Linked DNA regions of Caenorhabditis elegans. The protein of the gene in region 2 interacts with the protein of the main gene of each other region in a pairwise test. Each region holds a gene or a part of one and is shown on either strand. Other genes may lie near its edges.

What was found. The genes of interacting proteins can lie anywhere in the genome.
Region 1: the proteins of aha-1 (region 2) and hif-1 interact in binary tests that used the Caenorhabditis elegans proteins (3 or more experiments, as listed by UniProt).
Region 3: the proteins of aha-1 (region 2) and cky-1 interact in a two-hybrid assay, tested with the Caenorhabditis elegans proteins (3 studies listed by BioGRID).

What each region holds. Positions count from the first base shown.
Region 1 is NC_003283.11:20,778,176-20,786,173, forward strand, and holds hif-1 (Hypoxia-inducible factor 1), read left to right. Parts: upstream 1-2,231; 5' UTR 2,232-2,326; coding exon 2,327-2,346; intron 2,347-3,139; coding exon 3,140-3,330; intron 3,331-3,456; coding exon 3,457-3,611; intron 3,612-3,656; coding exon 3,657-3,971; intron 3,972-4,296; exon of another isoform or gene 4,297-4,360; coding exon of another isoform or gene 4,361-4,393; intron 4,394-4,488; coding exon 4,489-5,047; intron 5,048-5,150; coding exon of another isoform or gene 5,151-5,353; intron 5,354-5,562; coding exon 5,563-5,890; intron 5,891-5,960; coding exon 5,961-6,217; intron 6,218-6,297; coding exon 6,298-6,470; intron 6,471-6,518; coding exon 6,519-6,686; 3' UTR 6,687-7,085; downstream 7,086-7,998.
Region 2 is NC_003279.8:10,192,536-10,198,814, forward strand, and holds aha-1 (Aryl hydrocarbon receptor nuclear translocator homolog), read right to left. Parts: upstream 4,463-6,279; 5' UTR 4,456-4,462; coding exon 4,412-4,455; intron 4,249-4,411; coding exon 4,140-4,248; intron 3,696-4,139; coding exon 3,384-3,695; intron 3,333-3,383; coding exon 3,215-3,332; intron 2,931-3,214; coding exon 2,689-2,930; intron 2,646-2,688; coding exon 2,437-2,645; intron 1,952-2,436; coding exon 1,624-1,951; 3' UTR 1,390-1,623; downstream 1-1,389. Other genes in the region: lid-1 (AB hydrolase-1 domain-containing protein), read right to left, coding at 1-52, 99-204, 260-297; mrpl-34 (Large ribosomal subunit protein mL43), read left to right, coding at 707-926, 1,022-1,371; C25A1.15 (Transposase), read left to right, coding at 4,786-5,061; Y106G6E.1 (Protein kinase domain-containing protein), read right to left, coding at 5,751-5,876, 5,925-6,041. UniProt on the Caenorhabditis elegans protein: Transcription factor. Efficient DNA binding requires dimerization with another bHLH protein, such as cky-1 or ahr-1. Regulates transcription of target genes, probably acting in complex with cky-1. Has a role in cellular differentiation.
Region 3 is NC_003283.11:12,734,039-12,742,118, reverse strand, and holds cky-1 (PAS domain-containing protein cky-1), read right to left. Parts: upstream 5,417-8,080; 5' UTR 5,369-5,416; coding exon 5,133-5,368; intron 4,392-5,132; exon of another isoform or gene 4,203-4,391; intron 3,636-4,202; coding exon 3,125-3,635; intron 3,007-3,124; coding exon 2,792-3,006; intron 2,741-2,791; coding exon 2,634-2,740; intron 2,586-2,633; coding exon 2,420-2,585; intron 1,981-2,419; coding exon 1,755-1,980; intron 1,705-1,754; coding exon 1,135-1,704; 3' UTR 914-1,134; downstream 1-913. Other genes in the region: hrg-7 (Aspartic protease 10), read right to left, coding at 1-49; xbx-9 (XK-related protein), read right to left, coding at 6,140-6,693, 6,748-6,904, 7,166-7,313, 7,400-7,866. UniProt on the Caenorhabditis elegans protein: Transcription factor. Efficient DNA binding requires dimerization with another bHLH protein, such as ARNT homolog aha-1. Regulates transcription of target genes, probably acting in complex with aha-1.

The DNA.
Region 1 (7,998 bases), on a different chromosome or scaffold from region 2:
CTAGCATCATTTTTTTAGTTTAGGACTAGCTTTAATCTAAATTTCCTTAATTAATTTCCATTATTTTCCAGTGTACCTCCCTATTTCAACGTTTTCTTACCCATCATCCCAATTTCATTTACCGCACCGCCCTTCTCTAAACCACGTGTTCCCTCTCTATGTCGATCTCTGCGTCTCCCTCGTTTATACTACCCTCTAGTGTCTCTCTGTACTCTTGACCATCATCGCGATGTACGCGCGCGTCGGAATTCTGTCGCGACAGCACTACTGACGTTGTCCTCTCTTTAGTTCTCTCACTCTCTCATCTCTTTGGACTCTCTCCAAATCGCACACTATTCAATATGTCTGCCTGCTTGTCTCGTGTCTCCGTGGTTTATGTACTTACTGGGTCAAGAGAGTGTGTTAGATGAGAGGTCTTTTTTTTGGTTTTTCTTCACCTCTCTCAATTTTCAGAGAAAACTCTACTTCTCTAATTCATTTTTTGATCAACGAAGAAATGTTTGGATGCCCATCTTTGGTTTGTAGGCACCGCCCACTAGCTGCTCAGTTTTTCTCTAATGAGAGATTTCAGATTTTCAGAAAATCTATTAATTCTTATAGTTCAAAGGTAACGCTAATAGGTTTGATTTCATTGATCTGTATTTTAAATTTTTATTTAACTCCAATGTCAAAACATAGCTCCTGAACCACATATCGGAAAAAGTTGATCCTTTCCATTATAAAGATATGGACTAAACTCAATTTTCGCTAAATTTAATCAATTATCAGTCACTCTACTTCTCTGTACTCTAGCTTTCCCCCAATTTTTTGTCTAACATTCTGTCAATCGACAGTCTCTGAGAAGTCGTTTTGCCCACTGTCGTTCAATTTCTTGTCTTATCAACATCTTTCTTCTTACATTTTGTCGTCGCCTCCCGCTTGTTGATGATGACTATCTGTTTCCCTCGTTTCATATGACTATTGATTTTATTTAATGTTCCAATAACTTTCGACAATTCTTTATTATATTTTGAGGATTTATATTAATTGTGCACTCTCTTGATGTATCGATATTTTCAATTTCTCGATTAAGCTAAAAAGTGTGATATGAGATGTAAGGACTAGCTTTATTAGACTCAAAACTGTCTGAAAACACCAAATTTCTTAATGAAACTTTTTGAAAACTTCTCAAAAAAATTATGGTGGCTCAAAAAGGACCTAAAATCAGTTAAATTTTAAAATTTGAGCAACTCTCAGCGGCTGAAAACTTATTTTTTTGTCATATTTTGGGCCGCCATAGTTTTTTTGTGTCCTTTTCAAAAATTTAATTAGAAAATTCGGTGTTTTCAGACAATTTTGAGTGTAATAGAGTAATTAAAAATTCGACTACACCGCCTTTAAGTCCAAAGATTGATTGAATCCCGATCTTAACTATTTTATTTGAAATTCACTTGATAATAAGGATAAACTAAAATCACTACACAAACTACCCTTTCTGAACTTGAGTATAGTTATCTTCAAAAACATTATTGTTTACGCTCGGTGAAAACACTACATTCTAGTGATTCCCCTGTTCTTTGACTTACTTCAACTACAATTTTTTCAAAGATTGATCGTAGTTCATTCATAGTTTGATGTTAGTCACCCCCTCAATCTTGCCCCATTCATACCATTGACGTAACATCAATATCCAGATTTATATTTTTGAATCGGGAAAATTTTGCTTTTAATCTTTTTGTGTGCCCTTTTCTCCTTCACTGGCTTATCACATGATTCTTGTAATCAGTTTGTATTCACTCAATATAAAGAAATTGACAATTTTTCTTGAATTGAATTCAGCGAAATTTCCAGTCTACCTAAGTTCTTGTTTTTAGATTTGGGTTTTAAATTGAGCATTTGATCTCTATGATTTGTTTTCTGCAACATTCTTATGATACTTGCCTAACAAATAGTCAATTGTCCATGAAATTGTTACAAATCTTGACGTCCTCTGGGACCCCGTCCAAACAACTGTCACTAACATATCCAATCGATCGTTTTGTGCACCCTTGGTATTTATGATGTTTCAATTTGTCTCACTACACTCTACCCTAGTGCTATAAATCATAACTAAACTTGATTTTTTATTCAAAAGTGTTAACATTCGAAAATCTAACAACCCCTTATGTTCTCAATGATAATTTTAAGAACATTTGATACAATTTTTCTAATTCCCTCTACCCGATTCTATTCAATTTAAAATTGTCATACATTTTCAGCCCACCTGAAAGTTGCCCGTCATTACGGGGAAGTTGCCCCAATCACACCAACCTCAGCTTCACTGAAGCTGCACCTATTCACTATCAAGATGGAAGACAATCGGAAAAGGTAGAGTTAGAATTCTGTTAGAATCGAAATTCATTCTTAAACATTCCATGATTGGATGCCTGAAAACGCTAGAAGTACCGTAGTCCTTTGGGTTTGCTCCATGCTCTGCTCGCAAATGAGAGAGAGGGAGCATTGGCAGAGGTAGATGTATTGAAAATGCGCATTTCCGAATCGAATATCAAATGTGAATCATCTATATAAAATATATCTCGCTCTTTTTAGACACAACTCATTTTTAATCGGAGATGTTAGATAAAGTAAATTATGAAAATAAATTGTGAAATAATTGTGATTGAAGGTGGAGTAGCGCCAGTGGCAGTTTTGCCTAAAAAATACACTTACAATGGCTCGAAACAACCAAAAATCATAATAAAACACTTAAAAATTTTTTAGATTTTTCATAATTTCCGGTCAAAGTTTTGGCAAATGGCCAAAATTTTTACAAACATAAGTATTTGAGGAATGCCGCATGTTCCGATCCCTACTATGCTTCCAAAATTATGAGTGGCAAAAATTGAGTGATTATCATCTAACGGACGGTAAATAAACAATTTCAAAAAATTTTTGACAATTTTTAATTTGATATTCGGTCATTTTAGTACCATTGGATTAGTTTTCAACACTTTCTCCACTGGCTCCTCCTACTCCACCTTTGAAAAAATAAATTTTCCCAGTTATACTTAAAACTAAATTAAATCGAAAAACCTCATGAGAAGTGTACTTATATAGGTATATAATTTTTTGAAATTCACCAATTTTGGGGTGACAAGAAATTCAAAATCAAACTTTTTAGAAACATGGAACGCCGTCGTGAAACATCGAGACACGCGGCTCGTGATCGTCGGTCTAAAGAATCGGATATATTTGATGATCTGAAAATGTGTGTGCCTATTGTTGAAGAAGGTACCGTAACTCATCTAGACCGTATTGCACTTCTTCGTGTTGCCGCCACAATTTGTCGACTGCGCAAGACAGCCGGTAATGGTAAGTGACATCGAATAAAGAAATAGTTGATTCAACATCAAAAATCACTTGAAAATCGTGTTTTATGCTGAGAAAATCGACCAAAAATCACTGCCAATTTTTCTCAAATTAATATTTTTCTTTCAGTATTGGAAAACAATTTGGACAATGAAATCACAAATGAGGTATGGACTGAAGACACCATCGCCGAATGCTTGGACGGCTTTGTTATGATTGTTGACAGTGATTCTTCAATTCTTTACGTCACTGAAAGTGTTGCAATGTATTTAGGATTAACACAGGTGAGCAATAGAAAACTTGCTTCTTTAACATCGATATATTTTCAGACAGATTTAACAGGTCGAGCCCTTCGAGACTTTCTTCATCCATCCGACTATGACGAGTTTGACAAGCAATCAAAAATGCTGCACAAGCCACGTGGCGAGGACACAGACACCACCGGCATCAACATGGTGCTTCGAATGAAGACAGTCATCAGCCCACGTGGAAGATGTCTGAATTTGAAGAGTGCTTTGTACAAATCAGTGTCTTTCCTGGTTCATTCAAAAGTTTCAACTGGTGGACACGTGTCATTCATGCAAGGTATCACAATTCCTGCTGGACAGGGTACAACTAATGCAAATGCATCTGCAATGACAAAGGTGAATATCTGCTTTGAATGTTTCATAGTAAGATTCTAAAGTTTGAACTTTTGATCTTGGGAATTTCTGCTCCTCCTTTCCGCTTCTTGATAAACTGATGGAATTGTGAGACAAAATGTTGAGTAGACGTTACACAATTTCATTTTCTTCTTATTCTTCTGCTCGCTCGAAAAGTTTGTTCTTTTGATCTTTAAAATAGAGAATAGTGCTTTGAGCAAAGCACACTCAGCCGTTGGCACCTCGCGCATAGAAAACAGGATTAGAAAATTGGAGAGAAGTAGAGAAGCACAAGCACATGCAACTTGGCGTCATCTTCTCCTTTTTTGAAGCAGAAGAGAAAACGGAGAAGATGTTACATCTTGTATTGCTGCTCCGTTTGCAAAAGTAAAATGAGCAGGGACTCTGAATACCTAGATAGAAAAGTGAGTCCTAAAGGGCGTGTATATTCGAAAACTTTTTCAAATCAGATTTATAGATGCTATAAGTTTAATAAAAATATAGATGGATTAATTTACAGTACACGGAAAGCCCAATGGGTGCATTCACAACTCGTCACACTTGCGACATGCGCATCACTTTCGTTTCGGATAAGTTCAATTACATCTTGAAAAGTGAGCTGAAGACTCTCATGGGCACCAGTTTCTACGAATTGGTACATCCAGCCGATATGATGATAGTATCAAAATCCATGAAGGAACTTTTTGCCAAAGGACACATCCGTACCCCGTATTACCGGTTGATTGCTGCAAATGACACACTTGCCTGGATTCAAACAGAAGCTACTACAATCACACATACGACGAAAGGACAAAAAGGACAATATGTCATTTGTGTTCATTACGTTCTCGGAATCCAAGGAGCTGAAGAGTCATTGGTAGTTTGCACTGATTCAATGCCAGCTGGAATGCAAGTAGATATCAAGAAGGAAGTGGATGATACAAGAGACTATATTGGAAGACAACCTGAAATTGTGGAATGCGTCGATTTTACTCCATTGATCGAGCCAGAAGATCCATTTGATACGGTTATTGAGCCAGTCGTTGGTGGAGAAGAACCTGTTAAGCAGGCTGATATGGGTAAGTACATGTTTAAGAACGTATTAAAAGTTTGTAATTATACAGTTTGATTCACCTAAGTTTTTTTTATCCAAATTGAATAATTTACGAGGTACGTATATAGGAATTTATTCGGTGACGGATGAGTATGAGCAACGTGTTTATGGGCAAATTTCTGCCGGCAATGATATAGAAGACTGCGATATGGATTCTGATACAGAATCCATAGAAGATTCCGGTTTAGCACCGGAATTCGATGTGGATCTGGCTCCGATTTATAATGAGAAAATGGAAGTTGACGGAGAGGATGAGGACGGCGGAGAGGAGGTACTTTGGGAAATGGGATTATGATTACTAAGTTAAAAAAACAACAGATCGCAGTTTTCCCCTCCGTTGTCCTCATACCTCCGTGAGTTTCTCTTTTTCTTATTTTCAAACTTGTCAAACTTGTCCATGCATGTCGTATTATTTTTTACCCTACGCCTACTCAAAGTTCCATACATTTAGCAAGTGATTTCTTAACGTGTGTATTTCAGGAGCACGTAAGAACAGCTACGATGACGTTTTGCAATGGCTTTTTCGCGACCAGCCAAGCTCTCCGCCGCCGGCACGCTACCGGTCAGCGGACCGCTTCAGGACAACCGAACCGTCGAATTTCGGTTCCGCTCTGGCCTCGCCGGACTTCATGGATTCGTCATCTCGTACCTCCCGACCGAAGACATCATACGGACGAAGAGCACAAAGTCAGGGAAGTCGAACAACTGGATCGTCTTCCACGTCAGCATCGGCCACATTGCCACACAGTGCCAACTACTCGCCACTTGCAGAGGGCATCTCACAATGTGGACTTAACAGTCCCCCGAGGTTAGTTTTTTATACATTTTTCACAATTAGCACGTTGAGCATGTACATGTTTATAATATCCTTGTATCAGTTGCAGTATCAAATCTGGACAAGTCGTGTACGGAGACGCTCGATCTATGGGACGTAGCTGCGATCCGTCCGATTCGTCACGACGCTTTTCCGCCCTTTCACCATCAGATACTCTCAATGTGTCGTCCACTAGAGGCATCAACCCAGTCATCGGAAGCAATGATGTGTTCTCCACTATGCCTTTTGCCGATTCTATCGCCATTGCCGAAAGGATCGATTCGTCGCCAACATTAACCTCTGGCGAACCAATACTTTGTGGTTAGTTTTTTTTAAATGTTCAAATCAATCTCATTCGTGAAAGAAATCAGATAACTTTCAACAAAATGTTTAACTTTCAGACGATCTTCAATGGGAAGAGCCTGATTTATCGTGCTTGGCACCATTCGTTGACACTTATGATATGATGCAAATGGACGAGGGGTTACCACCAGAGCTTCAAGCTCTTTACGACTTGCCTGACTTTACACCTGCGGTACCTCAAGCCCCAGCTGCTCGGCCTGTGCACATTGACGTAAGCCTGTTTTGTTTTTGGCTCCTAACATTATGTTAATTTTTGCAGAGAAGCCCACCAGCGAAGCGAATGCACCAATCAGGTCCCTCAGATTTAGATTTTATGTACACTCAACATTATCAACCATTCCAACAAGACGAGACATATTGGCAAGGACAGCAACAGCAAAATGAACAACAGCCTAGTTCTTATTCCCCATTTCCAATGCTCTCTTGATTATTTTCTACCCCCTCTCAAACTGTTCATTGTTTTGTTTTCAAAAATATACTCTTCATTCATTCAAGTCACACTTCTTATTACTTAATTCTATTGCTCTTTTTAAGAATAATGAGTTTCAAGAATCCTCCCCGATAAATTTTCCCCCATTCCTTTTTCCCTTTCCCTCTGATTTCTTTATTTAGTAAAAAAAAGAAGAATCGTAGTACAAAACGTGTCTATCTGTGTGTCCGTTTGTCCGTTTTTCCCATCTCCATAGTGATAGTTAATTGCATCATTTATACAACGAATCTTCTTATGTTAAGTTTTCTTTTCATTTTTTCACAATGCTCTCGTCTCATTCATTTTCAAAATTCTGTCCGTCTTCGTTTTCTTCTCGATAAAACCTTTTTGGTTTGATCATCTTTTTAAAACTTTACAAAAAGCACTATTACAGAGTTTAGCATTCATTTTTGTGGAAAATATCTGAAATTTTGAGGTATGAGCTTGTAAAGTGAAAACGCGTCTAAATCTATTCGTCTTGATTTACAAATTACTTCAAACGTACGATCTTCCTATTAGACTTTCACTTCTTAGTAGTACTGCACCTCGAACACCTTCTAAAATTTAGACTGTTTATTTTGAAATGTTTTTTTGCAAAATTACAACAAGGCTAGGATTATTGCATTTTTGTTCCAATTAACCACAATTTTGCAAAATGTCTTTCAGAAACAGTTGTTCTTGTAAATGAAAACATGGAATCCTAAACAAAAAAGGCGTATGAAAATTAGTATTGCACAACCTAGTTGTAATGCATTCGCTTTGAAAAATAGTATTGCATTCATATTAATAGATAATGAATACATATACGCATCAGACCTCCGGTTTTTTTTGTGGAAAAAGCGAAAAATGAAAAATTTTCTTACTTTTTTCTGTTTTCCAATTATTCGGTTTTTCGATTTTTCGGTTTTGCACAAGAAAAACTAAAAAATGGTCATGCAATAGTCAATGTTGAAAACTGTCAGTTTCAATAATTTCCGACAATCGGGGGTTTTATGCAATTTTATAAGTTTCAATATGCTAAGTTTCACTAATCAAACCGATTCTTTTTGCAAAAGTGGTTTGAAATTCCATATCAAAGATCAAGATCTAGAATTATCAAAACTACTGTTTCGGAACTAAAACAACTGCCTAGTTCAATTTGCCATTCCAAATCAGGGGTACACGGCAATTTTTTCTGTTGTGTCCGTTAGAATTGTAGTAATTAGTCGAACCCACAATTTATTGATGAGGTTAAATCGGTAATAAATATATAACAAACAAATGAGTTCAG
Region 2 (6,279 bases):
CTTCTCTGGGCCTCACTGTCACCGTGTACACTTCGCCTCTTTTGAATCTGACCTGAAAAAGACACTCCAGACCAGAGAAACAAATATTTCTCACTCACCGGGACATATTTGGCTTCGTATGATACTTCGCAAGACTGAAACAGACGTCCCTCGACAATTTTTAGTTGTTCCTTCGAGTCATCCGTGAATGTCATCCAATTCATTCTGAAAACCGTAGTTTTATTTGAACAGCAAGCATCAAATATTAATAAATACTTACATTGTTGTTAATGCAGTTTTTGTCGTTGCAATTGCCATCTGAAAACAAAAAAATGTTGGCTAGAGTGTGGCTAAATAGGGGGCAAAGTGCAATAACAAGAAGAAATCACAGGAAAAAAATTTTGTCCTCGTGTACGACACGGCCGTGGCCTAGAATTCTCGGAGCTTCAAATGGAATTTATTAATTTTTTGGCTCGATATTTTCAACAAAATCTCTTGATATGTGATGATTAGTCACGTTTTTTCTATTTTAATGAAATTTGTTTGTGTAAATAACCTCGCGAAACCTGTTTTCGCATCAGCTGTCGTCGCTTTTGAACAAGACGCTCGTATTCTTTTCATTAGAGCGCCGTTGCCTTTCTTCATTTTGCCAATTTAACAGTACGATTTCTTATATTCTATTTCAATATTATACTTAAAGTTTATTTTATCAAACTCTCATTTTTAGATGCCATCGGTTCCACGTGTTGATCGCCTCAAACCCATTTACACAGCCGCAAAAGCTCTGAACTTTGGATGGCGATTTTCTGATTTTCTGAAAATTCCGGCTTATAATGGAATCTCGCGTTACACCAACCAACTTCATCGCATCACTGTCAGGTTTTGCAAACAAAGTGAATCCAGTGTCGGAGTTCGCAATTTTATTGAGAATCAACTCGTTGAAATCGGTAAGAATTTCTGTCTACGATCAAAAAATTAATAGAGAATCTAAATTAAAAGCTTCATTTTTTTTTAAATAAAGAAGGAAATCCGTTTTTTTCAGGCCGTAAAAACCCATCAGTTGTGATCTATGCCCAGCCTGTGCGAAACTCGAACCCATCAATCCGCGCAGAATATGGAAATGGTCGGACTCTACAGATCAATGCAAAAAACATGACACAAGACGAAGTGAGCAAAGATGTGCATTTGTTATTCTCAAGAAGCGGCGAACCAGTTGTGAAGCTAGAGAGTCGTCAAAGTGCATTGGTTCCTTCTATTCAAGGTCAATGGACACCGATAACATGGCTTCCAACAGAAATGAACACGGAACAACTTCCAGCGAAACAGTTCTCAAAGCACAAGTCAACGGCAACGTCGGCGACGGAATATATTCTTCAAAATCCACCAAAATAAGCAATAATCCGTTATTTTATAGTTGTTTTCATTTATTCGTTGTTTTCTTTTGATTTTTTGACAATATTATTAGTAATAAAATTTAGTGTTCAGAATGAGTTGAATAACTCGTTGGTCCAGAAAAAAGGAAAAATACTGAACAGAAAAGTTAAGGAAATTGAAAAAAAAAGAAAACTTTTCAAGAAGTAGATAGAAATGAGAATCATTGGAATAGGCTTCAAAAAAAAATATATCAATTTCTAGAAATTATAATCACTGGTTATATCCATTCATCGGGTCCCATTGCCATTGTGCCTGTGGTGCTCCTTGAGCTTCAGGTCTCCATCCTCCACTACTCGATTGTCCGTAATCCACAGCACTTGGAGCACCGCCGAGCTCTCCAAATTCACTGGCTTGAGGTTGAGGAACAGTTGGTGCAGTGACCCAATTATTAATATCTTCTTGTGGAGCAATTTGATGTGTTGCAACCACGTATTCGAACTGTTCCGAGTATGGATTCATGAATTTGTATGCAGACACAGTACATGGAATGTAATCAGTACTGGTACGTACTCGAATATTTATTCTCATTGGTTGGTCACTGAAATGGAAATGTTTTTATTTAGTTAACATGGAATCTACTGCTATAGGTTTAAAGGAAAGTACATTTTTCGAAATGGTCCCGCCACGAATATTATTCGTGAAAAATTCGCCTGAAAATATTCCCTAGAACCGCGAAAATTACGATTAAAAAACTACGGTACCTGGTCTCGACAAGACAAATGTTTGTTTAATGAAAAAGGTTTGAGCCTTTAAAAAGTACGGTAATTTTAATGTTTCTACTCAATTCTCTTTGGTTTTTCATAGTTTTTTTGATAAAGGTATATTTATTTGTTTAAAAACTCACATAAGACAACATGTATTTTTACAAATAGTGAGAAAAACTATGAAAAATCGACGAAAATTCTACAGAGTAGAAAGTTTGAAATTGCAGTACTCTTTAAAACCGCACACACTCTTGAAAGCAGGTAATATGAAATTTGATGGACGCAAATTGTTCAAAAAGGTTTTTTTACGAAAACTTACCTTAAAAGAGCCACAAATGAGTCTTGAAGGGTCTTCTCATCTGCTGGATGTGCAAGATTCCACCAATATCTTCCGATAAGTTGATCACTGCTCAAACCAATTAAATCACTAACCCTCGCATCAATAAATGTCATTTTTCCATCTTCCGAAACACGAACCGAAAATTGATTTGTTGATGTTGGATCAGCACAGACCGGCATTGATGCTACCTTTAATTAAATCACGTTTATCTGCATCGTAAACTATTCTAACCTGTAACCTGGCAATTGCCACCAAACAAGATGAAGCTGGAGCATTAATTCCCTGTGGTGGAGCATTTTTGATATATCCTGTGCAATGCATCACAACGTAATTTTGACCAGCATGTTGGAATAAGGGACGGCGATTTCTGAGACGATGAAGTGGTTCAAGGGCTCCGACACGCATTCGACAGATGAATCCACGACGACATGACATATGAACTCGTGTTGATGCTCCTTCGCGTTTCACTGATCCTAAAATTCAATGATTTTGATAGTTAACTTGAAGTGGGTTACTGTACTTTTAAAGATACACACATTTTAAGAGCGAGCAGATACCTTTTTGACGGAAAATCACAAATTTTGGGCATGCCAAAATCTAGTGAAATTACAATAGATGCTTTTAAAACAAATACTACTTAATTCGATTGACTGAAGTAAGTGGTTATTACTGTAAACGGTTCCAAGTTATATGACTACTTTGGAAAAAATTCAAAAAATCCTTGAATCTCTCCTCTTCTCTTTTTATGATAACTCACCAGATTTCAAATCGAGAACTTTATTAACTGATACTTCACTTCCACACAATTGATCTCTAATTTTATCTTGATCATCTGGATGTATGAGTTCATTCAAATTTCTTTGAAGCCAATCTTCCTAAAAATTAATATTTATATTTCAATAATGAAAGATTCAAATCTTGCTCACCTGCTTCAAATTAAGTACGGGAGTAATTGAATCAGCAACATATAACACTTTTCCAGTCTGACAACAAACAACAAAAAGAAATCCATTCGCTGCTTCTAGAATCAAATGTTTCAATTCTTGATCCGTAAGAAATGATGGTTTATATGAAGTTTCATCTTGTGCCGTATGTCCTCGAATTCCTTTCATGTGTGATACTGCCATTCGGAGAATCGTTAGTTTATCGGGTTTACGTCCAAGTGATGCACATTGTGGAACCATTTCGGCTAATTCATTTATGTAATGAGTCATTTTGTTACGGCGACGTCGCTCAATCTAAAACGTTTTCAGTTGAATTTGAAGCAAGAAATTTTACTTTTTCCATATTGAATTTTGATTTCAGAAATTTCAACCAAAGGGTTGGTAAATTGCCAAATTTTTAAACTTTTAGTTTTTAGTTTAATACTTGCAGAAAGAAAGATTTTTCGGTCGGCTTCCGAATTCATGATATGTGAAACTCTAAAATTGTGCCTATTTGAATTTTAATTATACAGTTTGAAATAATTTTTTAAAAAGTTCTCTATGACTCGATAATTTTAGCACCATATGTAGAAATTTTTAAAAAATTTAAAATCGCTGGAAATTTAATTTTGAGTTGTGTTACGTCCCATGAAAATTGCAGTTTTACAGGTCAAACAATACCCAGAGTATCGTACTTTTTATTTGAATTAATGAAACATAGCAGTATAAATTTTCAGATATAAATGTTCAAAACCTCACCTCTGAATGATTTTCCCTTGCAAATCTTTCCTTATTCTCTCCCATTTCATCTTCCATTCGAGCATATTTTCCAGATGGCATGCCCATATCTTCATCTTCCATTGCGAAGCTGAAATTATTTAAAATTTAAAATATAAGTTTAGAAGTATCCAAAAATAACCAGCAATAAGCATATCTGAATAGTTGTATTGCATAGAAAACCAATTTTAATCAACACATTTTTTGCAATAAAAAGCCATAACTTAAGCTAATAATGTCACACTATGCCTTACCTCGTCGCCGATTGCCATGGATCCATAAATATATCCTGAGCCATTCTGAAAACTATAAAGAAAAGTTTTTTTCTGTCGAAAAGAAGAATTGAAAGACACCAAAACAAATTATAGGCAATTGAATATATTAGGTGAAGAATTTAAAAAATTGAATTTTAAAACAAGTTGTGCAATGGATCGAGAGTAAATCAATTAATTATGTAAATCGTCGCTTCCTTGCCCGATGAGAGAGAAAGTATGGAAAATCTAGAGTAAGATGCGTCAGAGAATACTCTCCATTGTAGACACAATGTCTTTAAACACGCGATACGTATGTCTGAGTCTCCATTTTTCATATACTCTCACCAATCAATATTTCTTTAGGATGATGGGGGATGGGAAAGGAATGGTGTGAGAGAGAGGGGCGTGCGCGCTTTTTCTATTTGTCCAGTACCTCGTCACCAAACACCGTTGAGGACCGTATTATTACTATGAAGAGAGAAAGAAATGAAAAGAAATTGAGAGTGACCCCCCTACATATGGTCACTGGATATTTGAGAGAAGAAGCAACAGATGGAATTAGAGGGGAGAGACTTTTTAAGGATGATGAAGGAGGAAACGGAAAAAAATTAGAAGATGATGGATGGATGATAGGGCATATAAAAATGTGATAGTGATAATGCAAGAAAATAAGTGAAATAATGCACGCATTTATAGTGTGACCAGTATTTGAAAGTTGAATGACCACAATTGATTGATCAAATTTTTTTAACTTTCACACTCTCAATTAAAATCATTTTTTATTTGAAAGAAAACCTTTTGCATAGGCCCCTATAAAACATTCTGCTACATGCCTCGCACTTTGAACTAAAAAATATCGACCTGAAAACTGTTCCTTGGATGTTTCCAACTTTCGAGTTTTGTGAAATTGTTCCAAAAGTGTAGTTTTTTATCAAGTTAAAGTTTTCTTTCTAAAAAAACACACATAATTCAAGCTTTCAGAATGTTTGTTTCAGATCGACTTTTCCACTCGGCCTTTTGTAGATTTAGAATGCACTAGAGTTTGGCATAAGTTTGATTTTATTCATGTCAAACTTTGACCCAAACCTTTCTTGTATTGTTTTAAACTGTTGAAAAAAATATTGTCGCTGCCAAATTCTGGCAAAAAGTTGGTGTACAATGCCAAGCAGTCCAAGGCGCTCTTCGCCAGAGGAGCCATAGGACGAAACTCCATATTCAAATTAGTTATGCTTCTAAAAAGACAGATATAGTGACATATATTTCAATTTGGAGACCCCATTCAGAACTGTTCATATATTACAAAATTGATAATCTAAATATCAGTGCTCTTTTCTCGAATTCAACTCGTCTGCTCAACCGATTCATTCGTCAAAGTTGTATCTCCAGATTTCACGGATTGTAAGTCGACTGCAGAAAGACACAAAATCTTCTTTTTATTGAATCTCACCGTTTTCTCGTTGAATAACTAAAATCATTATGTTAGGTGACAATCATAAGGTTCAGATAAACTTACCACATTAAAGTACGGATGAGTGAGAATCTCAATTCCAGAGAGACGCTTGTTCGGATTGTAGACAAGGATTTGAAGAAGAACTGCTACTGACTCTTTCATGTCATCTTGCTCAATTTTCTGAAAAACAACTCTCTGGAGGTTTTCTTAAAGCTTTTTGCCTGAAACCGATTTGATTCCACATGCGCCTTATCGTTTGGTGCCTACTCTGTGCCTATCTTGTACCTAGCTTGTGCCGCGCAATCAATAACAGACTAGTGGTACATCAAATCGGTTTCAAATGTTAAGATGGTTCCGAATGTAGCACTTAAAACCGGTCGCTGATGAAAATTGTCTGAATTTTCAATGAACTCGTTCT
Region 3 (8,080 bases), on a different chromosome or scaffold from region 2:
CTGCAGAGACCACAGTCAAGAGAGCTAACAATGCAATAAACGTCTTCATGGCTTCCAACTTTTTTCCCCTAATTTAACCTGTAAATGTATTATATAGCTTGAATTAATTGAAACTGGTTGACGAAAACAAAACTGCAGCGAAAAATTAAATGGAAAACTCACTTCTTTTCGGCACTATCAGTTCGGCATTGGAATATATAGTATGAGATAGGAGGAGCAGACATATGATGCAACTAATGACTATCATATTATGTCTCTTATGGGCGGCTTGATGTTGAAGTTCGCCGATTTCTTTTCAGAATTGAACCCGGATTGATAAACTGTGCTTTGTGATTCGTTGAAGTTTGTCATGTTTTTGTTGTGTTTAGCACAATTTTGTCAGTTTTAATGCTTTTATTTATGTACGCAATTATTCGAACAAGGAATGGTAGTCAAGGTAGTCTCAAACGTCAAAACGAATTGAATATCATCTGAAACTAACTTTAATTTAGGCTAGCTTACCACACACATTTAGAGCAGATCTTACCTCGGATTCCTTCAAAGTTCTGACCCGAAAATTCTCAACCAAAAATGGTGCCGATTTGTCAAGTTTTAAAATTACTTCAAAATAATCTATTGGTGCCGAAGGATAATAAACATAAGTGGCCTGCTTTTTTTTAAAAGGAGCTTGGATTCCATAAAAAAAATGAACTGAAAAAAATTCAGATCATCATTTGAAAGGTTCGTTTGACCGTTGGAAATATTTTTTTGTCTCTAGATAAAATCATACGTTTTTACTGCAATACAACTTATTTCGAAGGCTATTTTGACGAGAATTATTTGATTGATTAAACCTGGAGACTAAAATTCAATAAATAATTATTTTTGAAGTATTGTAAATTTTTTCAGTAATGCTTTATCTTGTGGAATAAAAAACAATAAAATATTTATTAAAACTTACAAAGAGGAGAATTATAAAATTGAAAGAATGATATAGTCAATATGTGAAAGCTCTTGTAAATCTACCCGGATAAATACTGATAATGAATGAAAATGAAAGACATCAATTGAAAAGTCTATAATGGAAATAAATATAAGAGATAAATTTGAGTAATGGAATGAAATGAGATACTAGAGTACTAATTTTCAATTATTTTATACAGCCCAACTTCGTTTTCGGTTGTAATAATCAAAATGGTAAGGATGCGGAGGTTGGGAATGATGTAGGTGTTGATTGAGATGTTGATGATGGAATAGAAAGTTTGATTGTCCGTAATTTGATGGAGGACATGACATGGGAGGAATTGGAGTCATTTGAAGAGGATGATTCGGTTGGGATTGATGCTGTTGTTGGAGGTGGTGTTGATGTTGCATTGCAAAATTTCCATCAAATAGTGCTGGTCCTAGATATTTGTACAATTCGGCGGAATCAAATGCATTTGGCATAGAATGACGATGACCAAAATTAACATTTGAAGGAAATGAATGAGCTGGGGATGTTGCTGGAGATTGCTCAACTTGCCGAAGAATTTCGTCCACTTCATCTTTAAGCTCTGGGAGCACGTCATTTGAAGGTAAAATGTCTTCAAGAATGTCTAATGGGAATGCATTATGATGAGGAAGTAAAGATGTATGAAGGGATGCAGAACTCTCCGGTGATGATGACTCGGGGGTAAATAATGGAATTTGAGTATTGATTGGACGCATTGGAATTTCCACTTTTATCTGAAAGTTCATAAAGTTAAAATTAAATCGAAGTTTTACGTTCTAATCACCTGATTGTAATCCAATGACGGAAAACCTGGTGCGATTCCTGCTCCAATAAGAGGCTTCTGCTCAACGAGCATTGGCGGCTGCTCAGTGAATGGTGGAGTTTGCGGACTTGATGGTTGTTGTTCTTCGGATGGTGGTGGAGAATCTTGACATGAAAAAACTGTTGGGTAAGTGTGTCGCATGCTGTAGATCCAGGAATTCGCTTGAAGAGTCGCAGCTTCCAGATCACTGAAAAATTTAATTGTAGGGTCTAGCTTGGAGTTACGGAATATTTGTAAATCTTTGAAGGAGCTTTTCTGTAAATACTCTAATAATCATGTAACTTAACCCACTCAATATAATACTAATAACCTTCAAATCATATTAAATTTTAGAGACATTTCTGCCGAAGTTTTGGTAATATTCCAAATTTTGAGCAGTTTAGAACGATCTCGAATGTTTGAGATGTCTATGTACAACGTTTACAACATAATAGATAAAGCATAATTATAAAAATACGAAATCTTAGAAAAAATTGTTCTTAAGGATTTCCAAAGTTATGAGTGTATAGAACTCATAGTAAATAGAAAAGTAAAAAAAAACATATTTTTTTTACATTTTTGTTGATATGTGGAGTGGTTTTGGACGGGAAAAAGTCTTAAACTATTTTCGCGTTCATAAAACTTACGTAAGTTTCTGATGGAAGCAGTGTATAACATGACGAAGTCTTTTTCCATCACTATTCAACTCATTATTTGGTCGAATTGAGAATACTGTATGCAACCATATCCATTCTCCATTTGCAGCTTGTAATCGAATTAATGCAAGAACTGACCCTTCTTTCTCTTGACATACTGAAAAAAATTATGTAAAAGTATTTCACACAGTATCTTAAAACATACATAATCGATGTTTATGAGCAATTTCGGGTACATGATTAGGATGAATCATTCCGTACCAAGACATTCCTTTCAATTGCTCTTTACTGAATCCCAAATGTTGAGAGGCCCTGAAATTGATCAATAATAAAATTCAAGTTTTTAACATTTTTCATGCTTACATTGTATCGGCTTCCTTAAATTTCATATCCAAATAATGTTGAGTACTAAACACATGTGTATTTCCAGTGGACATTCCTTCAGCATTTTCTGGATTTATAAGAGGTTGACAATAAGCCGAGAAAACTGGCTGATCACAATCAGGTTGAGAGTTTTGAGCATTCAATTGTTGATAAAATTCGGCAGGTTGAATATATCGACCTTGGAATAGGACGAACTGAAAATCCCAATTTTTGCTTTGAAATAACATATTTTTGGCATTTGGCATGTCCCCAATGCAAAGTTAGCATGACTTCGAAAAAAATGATAGTATTCTAAATGAAGTTAATTCTTACTTTATGATACTGTAACTGTCGTTTTGCAGTTCTTGCCAAATTCAATCGACATATGAATACTCTTTCCTCCGGAAAAGTTGCAGCTCCTGGAGGTCCACTTGCAAGTTCTGCCTGTACAGCACCATGATCTCTCCCATCCACCAAATCATAAATTGAATCTCCCTGACACATAATCTCTTCAACTGAATGTCCCAGGTACTCGCTTGCATTATCGGAAACATGAAGTATTTTTCCACTTCTCGTGACCATTAACATGAATCCTCGAAGAGCTTTGCAGATATCGATGCCACGTGGCATTGGAGATGACATCTGCATTTGTAACATTTGCAGCTGGGGTTGTAGAACTGTTTGTTGATATCTATGTTTCCGTATGAAAATACACCCAAGGGACATCACTTGTAACTGGAAAAGTCGATCCTTGATAAGATCTGATAGAGGAAGAAGATCTCGAAGCTTCTGAATCTCCACATTGATCTGATCTCTGCGTTGCTTTGAAGCTCCACGAGTTGACCTAGAAAATACGAATTGTTTGTATAGACTGTGACGCAATATGTTAATTTCTTGGCGCATGAGAAATGAAGAACGAATGTTTGCATTGGTATCCGAGGGGAGAAAGTTTAGATTGTGAAACGGTTTGAAAAGCTTCATCTCTAAATTTCCCGGGGTGAGAAGATTTACTTTTAATTTCAAATAAAATAATGTTCGTGAAATTTTCTAAGGTAAAAATTATACGCTAAACATCCAAGAAAGTTCTCTATGATTTTTGTTATGATTTTTGTTTTCAAATATAAAATAAATTAGCACATTTTAAATATGCATATTCAGATAAACAAACGTCAAATGGTACAATAACCAGTTTTTGGAATCTACTAAACTCGGCCGGGCTCAAATTTGAGTTTTATTTTTGCTGAAATCTCTACTTCAAGCGTATCGAAAAATGTATACTCACTATCAAAGGAACCTTAAACACTTCTCAGTTATTTAATAAATTGAGCTTTGAATTGAGCTTTGAGCCACTTCTAACTCGTGTTTGTCTTTTTATGGCGCAATATGTAAATTCTGCTAATTCATTCTCTCCGATTTTCTCAGCCGTTCGTTCATATTTACTTTTAAATATACAGACTCTGTGGGATATTCACCTTATTTCATTTCAACACACACGTGACGTCAGAGTGTCCGTGCGGAAAAAGAGCGGAGCACGGAAAGTTCCGCGCGGAAAGAAAAAGGTCTTTGAAAGAAGTTGGTCAAACTTAGAACATGATGACCCTTTAGCGGGAGGTGAAAGGGAGACAAGAAATTGAAAATGTTTATTTAAGAACTGGTTAGGTTTCGAAACTTGTAAGATATCCGGGAAGAAATTTGAGCTTTTGAAAATTTGGGATTAATTGTGAAATCATTATCTTATCATAGACATAGACGAACATAAGAAAAGTTTTAGACCACATTATTGTGGACTATATACATCTTCCAACTAGGCCTAAAAATACCTACTCTCCTGCTTACACGCATGCCATAAATAGAAAAATAAACAGAAGAGAAACTTAATTTGTTATGAAAAATCATACTGTAAGGGGTAACTTTGCAAAAAATTCACTGCTCAAATTTAAGACCAGATACGGCTGCCTTGTTGGAACGCTTTTTAGAATTTTTAAATTGCATGGAAGACCTAGTAATATCCGTTTCTTCACTTTATTGTGAATATTGAATTCCTCAAAATGGTATTATTAGGCTTTGAACAATTGACATCTAAACATTTTGTTTTTGAAAATTACTGTCAGCTTTTTTAAATAGTCAAAACCTAATCATATCCACTATGAAAAATAGAACCCCTGCAAAATTATTGAGCAAAATTATGAAACTATAAAACTGATGGCATGGATGGAGGATGAGTTTCTAGGATCTAGGATTTCTAGGATGGTTGAACTGATAATTGAACTTAGCAAAGTTTTCAGAAGAAAGATAGAAAAATAAAGTTTGAAGTGGAATGATATAATTAGATACAACTCACCTTTGCTGGCCATTGACTAAGTTGCTCCCATTAGAGCTTCCTGCTGAAGACATTCCCATTGTATTATTATTAGGAACATTAATTGAATTGTTGTTAAGTGCTGAACCACTACTGCCAACCGATGCTCCAACGTGATAGGCACAATGTTGCAGTTGAAGAGCTTGTTGAACTCCGCCTCCAGCTCCGGTTGTTCCGGAAGAAAAGGAAGAAGCATGTAGAGGCACCGTCGTGCTCATCTCTTTCTTCACGGAGCTCTTCGTGCAGCCACGCAGACTATGCGATATGTGCGGGAACACGGGCGATCTTCGTGAGGTCACGCCCTGACCATCTACCTCCCGAACTCCGCGCGGACACCGCGTGTTACGTCACTGACTATCTCCGCCCGCCTAGAAAAGGAAAGCACCTCTCTCGTTTCGAATGGACAGTAATCCTCACTGTACTTGAGAGAGCCATGGCCGCGGCCGCGACTGGCGCGTCCATTGTTTGCTCGATCACTCTCTCTTACTTTCATTTACTCTCTCAGATTTCAATTTCACTCATCTCTTTCATTTTTCCATCTTGTAGGTTAAGGAAGTACGGGGGGAAGTACCTAGTTACTGCCCCCCAGGTACTGACCACTGTCTCTGCACTCTTTGTTTATCAACACGGAGGTGAGGAAAACCGCTAGCTAAGCGGTGCCAGCATGTTGCAATAGGTAGCAAAAGTGAGTGTACACTGAGAAATGTGTACTTTTCTTTTTCCGCATTTTGACCTTTCTAGGAAATTGAGTACTTTTGGCGTATGTTAAGTGATACTTAGGGAGAGCATTAAACAGGGTTAGTTTTTACTAATTAAAAAAAAAGCTAAACACACATAATAAACAGTTATAATGAGTTCTAAATCATAACTTTACTGTCGTAATTATGCATTTACCGGAGTTGTTTTTCATTTTAACTTTTGAAATTTGTTAACAGGGAGTTTATTTAGTGAAAATGAAAAATTCAAATTAACTTAAAACTCTTAAGCTCTTAGTTCACTTGAGCTGCAGGATGTCCGTTATCATATGCCATTGATGGAGTATAGACAATTGTTGTTTGCATGTTTTGTGGAAGTTGAAGCATACCAGGAGCGAATCCGATTCCAGGATACATTGGTGGAGCTTGTGGATGACCATGAGCTGCACCATGAGCTGGCGAAGGTACTTGGTGGGGAATTGGCATGGGTTGAGGATGTTGAGCGACTGGAGCAATAGCATGATTAACTGGAGGATTTGGAGGTGTTGGTGGTGGTGGACTCTTTTTCTCTCCGGTATCCATTAGCAATGGTTGATTTTGGGTTGCGATGAAGACCTTGTTCTGTGTGGCGGTTGGATTTCCAGTTGGGTGATGTTGACGACGAATCCATTGATCAATGGCAAATCTTGATGAAACGGTTAGGAAGAAGGCAACTAGCATGAACAGGCTCATGAACAAACGAACAGTGTCAAATGTCAGAAGTTGAATTGCCAGTGCAGTGTAGTATACAGTTTTTTCATCGTCCGAGTTCCAAAGGTATGGCGCGAAAAGTTCGGCGATTTTCACATCTGAAAAGAATACGATAAAACCAATTAAAATTCAATTCAGTTGCAAAAACTTACAAAACTCAAACCATTGAGGAATATTCATTACAATTACAGCAGCTGCTCCAAAACCAAGACGGCTACGTGCATCATCGACAACTGGATCACCAGTCAGAACTGCCATGTTTGTTCCGGCTGCTGGTTTTGGTTTGCACATTAATCCAACACACAAGCACTGGAAAACATTTTTGATTTTCTATATTTAAATTTCATTTGAAGGTGGAATTGTTGAATTACTGTCAATAGATATGTGTAGGGGTGTAGAAGTAAAGTGCAAAACAATTACACTGAAAACGATCTTTAAATAGGATCACACCACTTGTTGGCTTCGGTTAAATTTTCTACTATTCTTTGGATTTTTTCACACTTTGTTTAATACCTCACTAATGTATAACTGGGCACTGATGTCCACCTTTAGAGATCAAAAATAGATTACCACTAGAAGCTCGGCAATGATTCCCACTGTGCACAAAAGGTAGGTAAAAAACAGTGCAGAAGCAGGAAGTGGGTTCCATTGGGATGCGATGAAATGATATGAACCAGAGAGTATAGCAGCAAAGAAGAGCACAGCAAAGTAAGATGTCCTGGAAAATATCGGAGGCATCAACTATTCATTTAACAAAAAATGTTATTCAAGATTTTTGCTGTGTCATTCTAACCATTTTCTTACCATGAATCACAAGGATTAAAGTTTTGTCTTTTCCTTGCAATTACAATCAACGCCGAGAGAAAAATCACAGATCCAATGGATGTAGTGAGGACTGCTGTAGTGTAAAACCAGTTGAAGAACATCAGAAAAACCATGTACCACCATCCATAAGCTCCAAGCATGATACTGTAGATAGCCAGTGCAATCTTGAACAGAGATGACAGTCCAAGTGGAATGTAGACAATAGTCAGAAAGACCTTCGTGATATCACGCTTCATTTTCAAAGAAAGCAGAAAGAAAACTGCGATGATTGAAACTTCAATTGCGGAGAGTCCAGCTCCAATTGGTCCTCCGTAAAATGCTTTCTTTGTGTAGAGTTCATCAGGAAAATCACAGCTTATCTTCACTTTTTTCTTCACAGTTGTTGAATTACAAAAAAGAGTGGTAAGTAAAGGAAGACCCGGGACTGGGTCCATGTCCGTCGACATGGTTACACGATCTTTATATCACTTCAATAGTTGGGATTTTATTGAAGCTGAGATTGAGAATAAGAAATGTGGCGAGTTGAGTGGCTAGATTGAACAGGTGAAATGCCATGTTGCTATGGTTACTCGTCACGAAGTTTCAGCTGTTCTTGGACGCAGATCTTGTGATATTGAAATTGGTTGTTGATGTAAAAAAAATTAAGACGGAGACACTAAC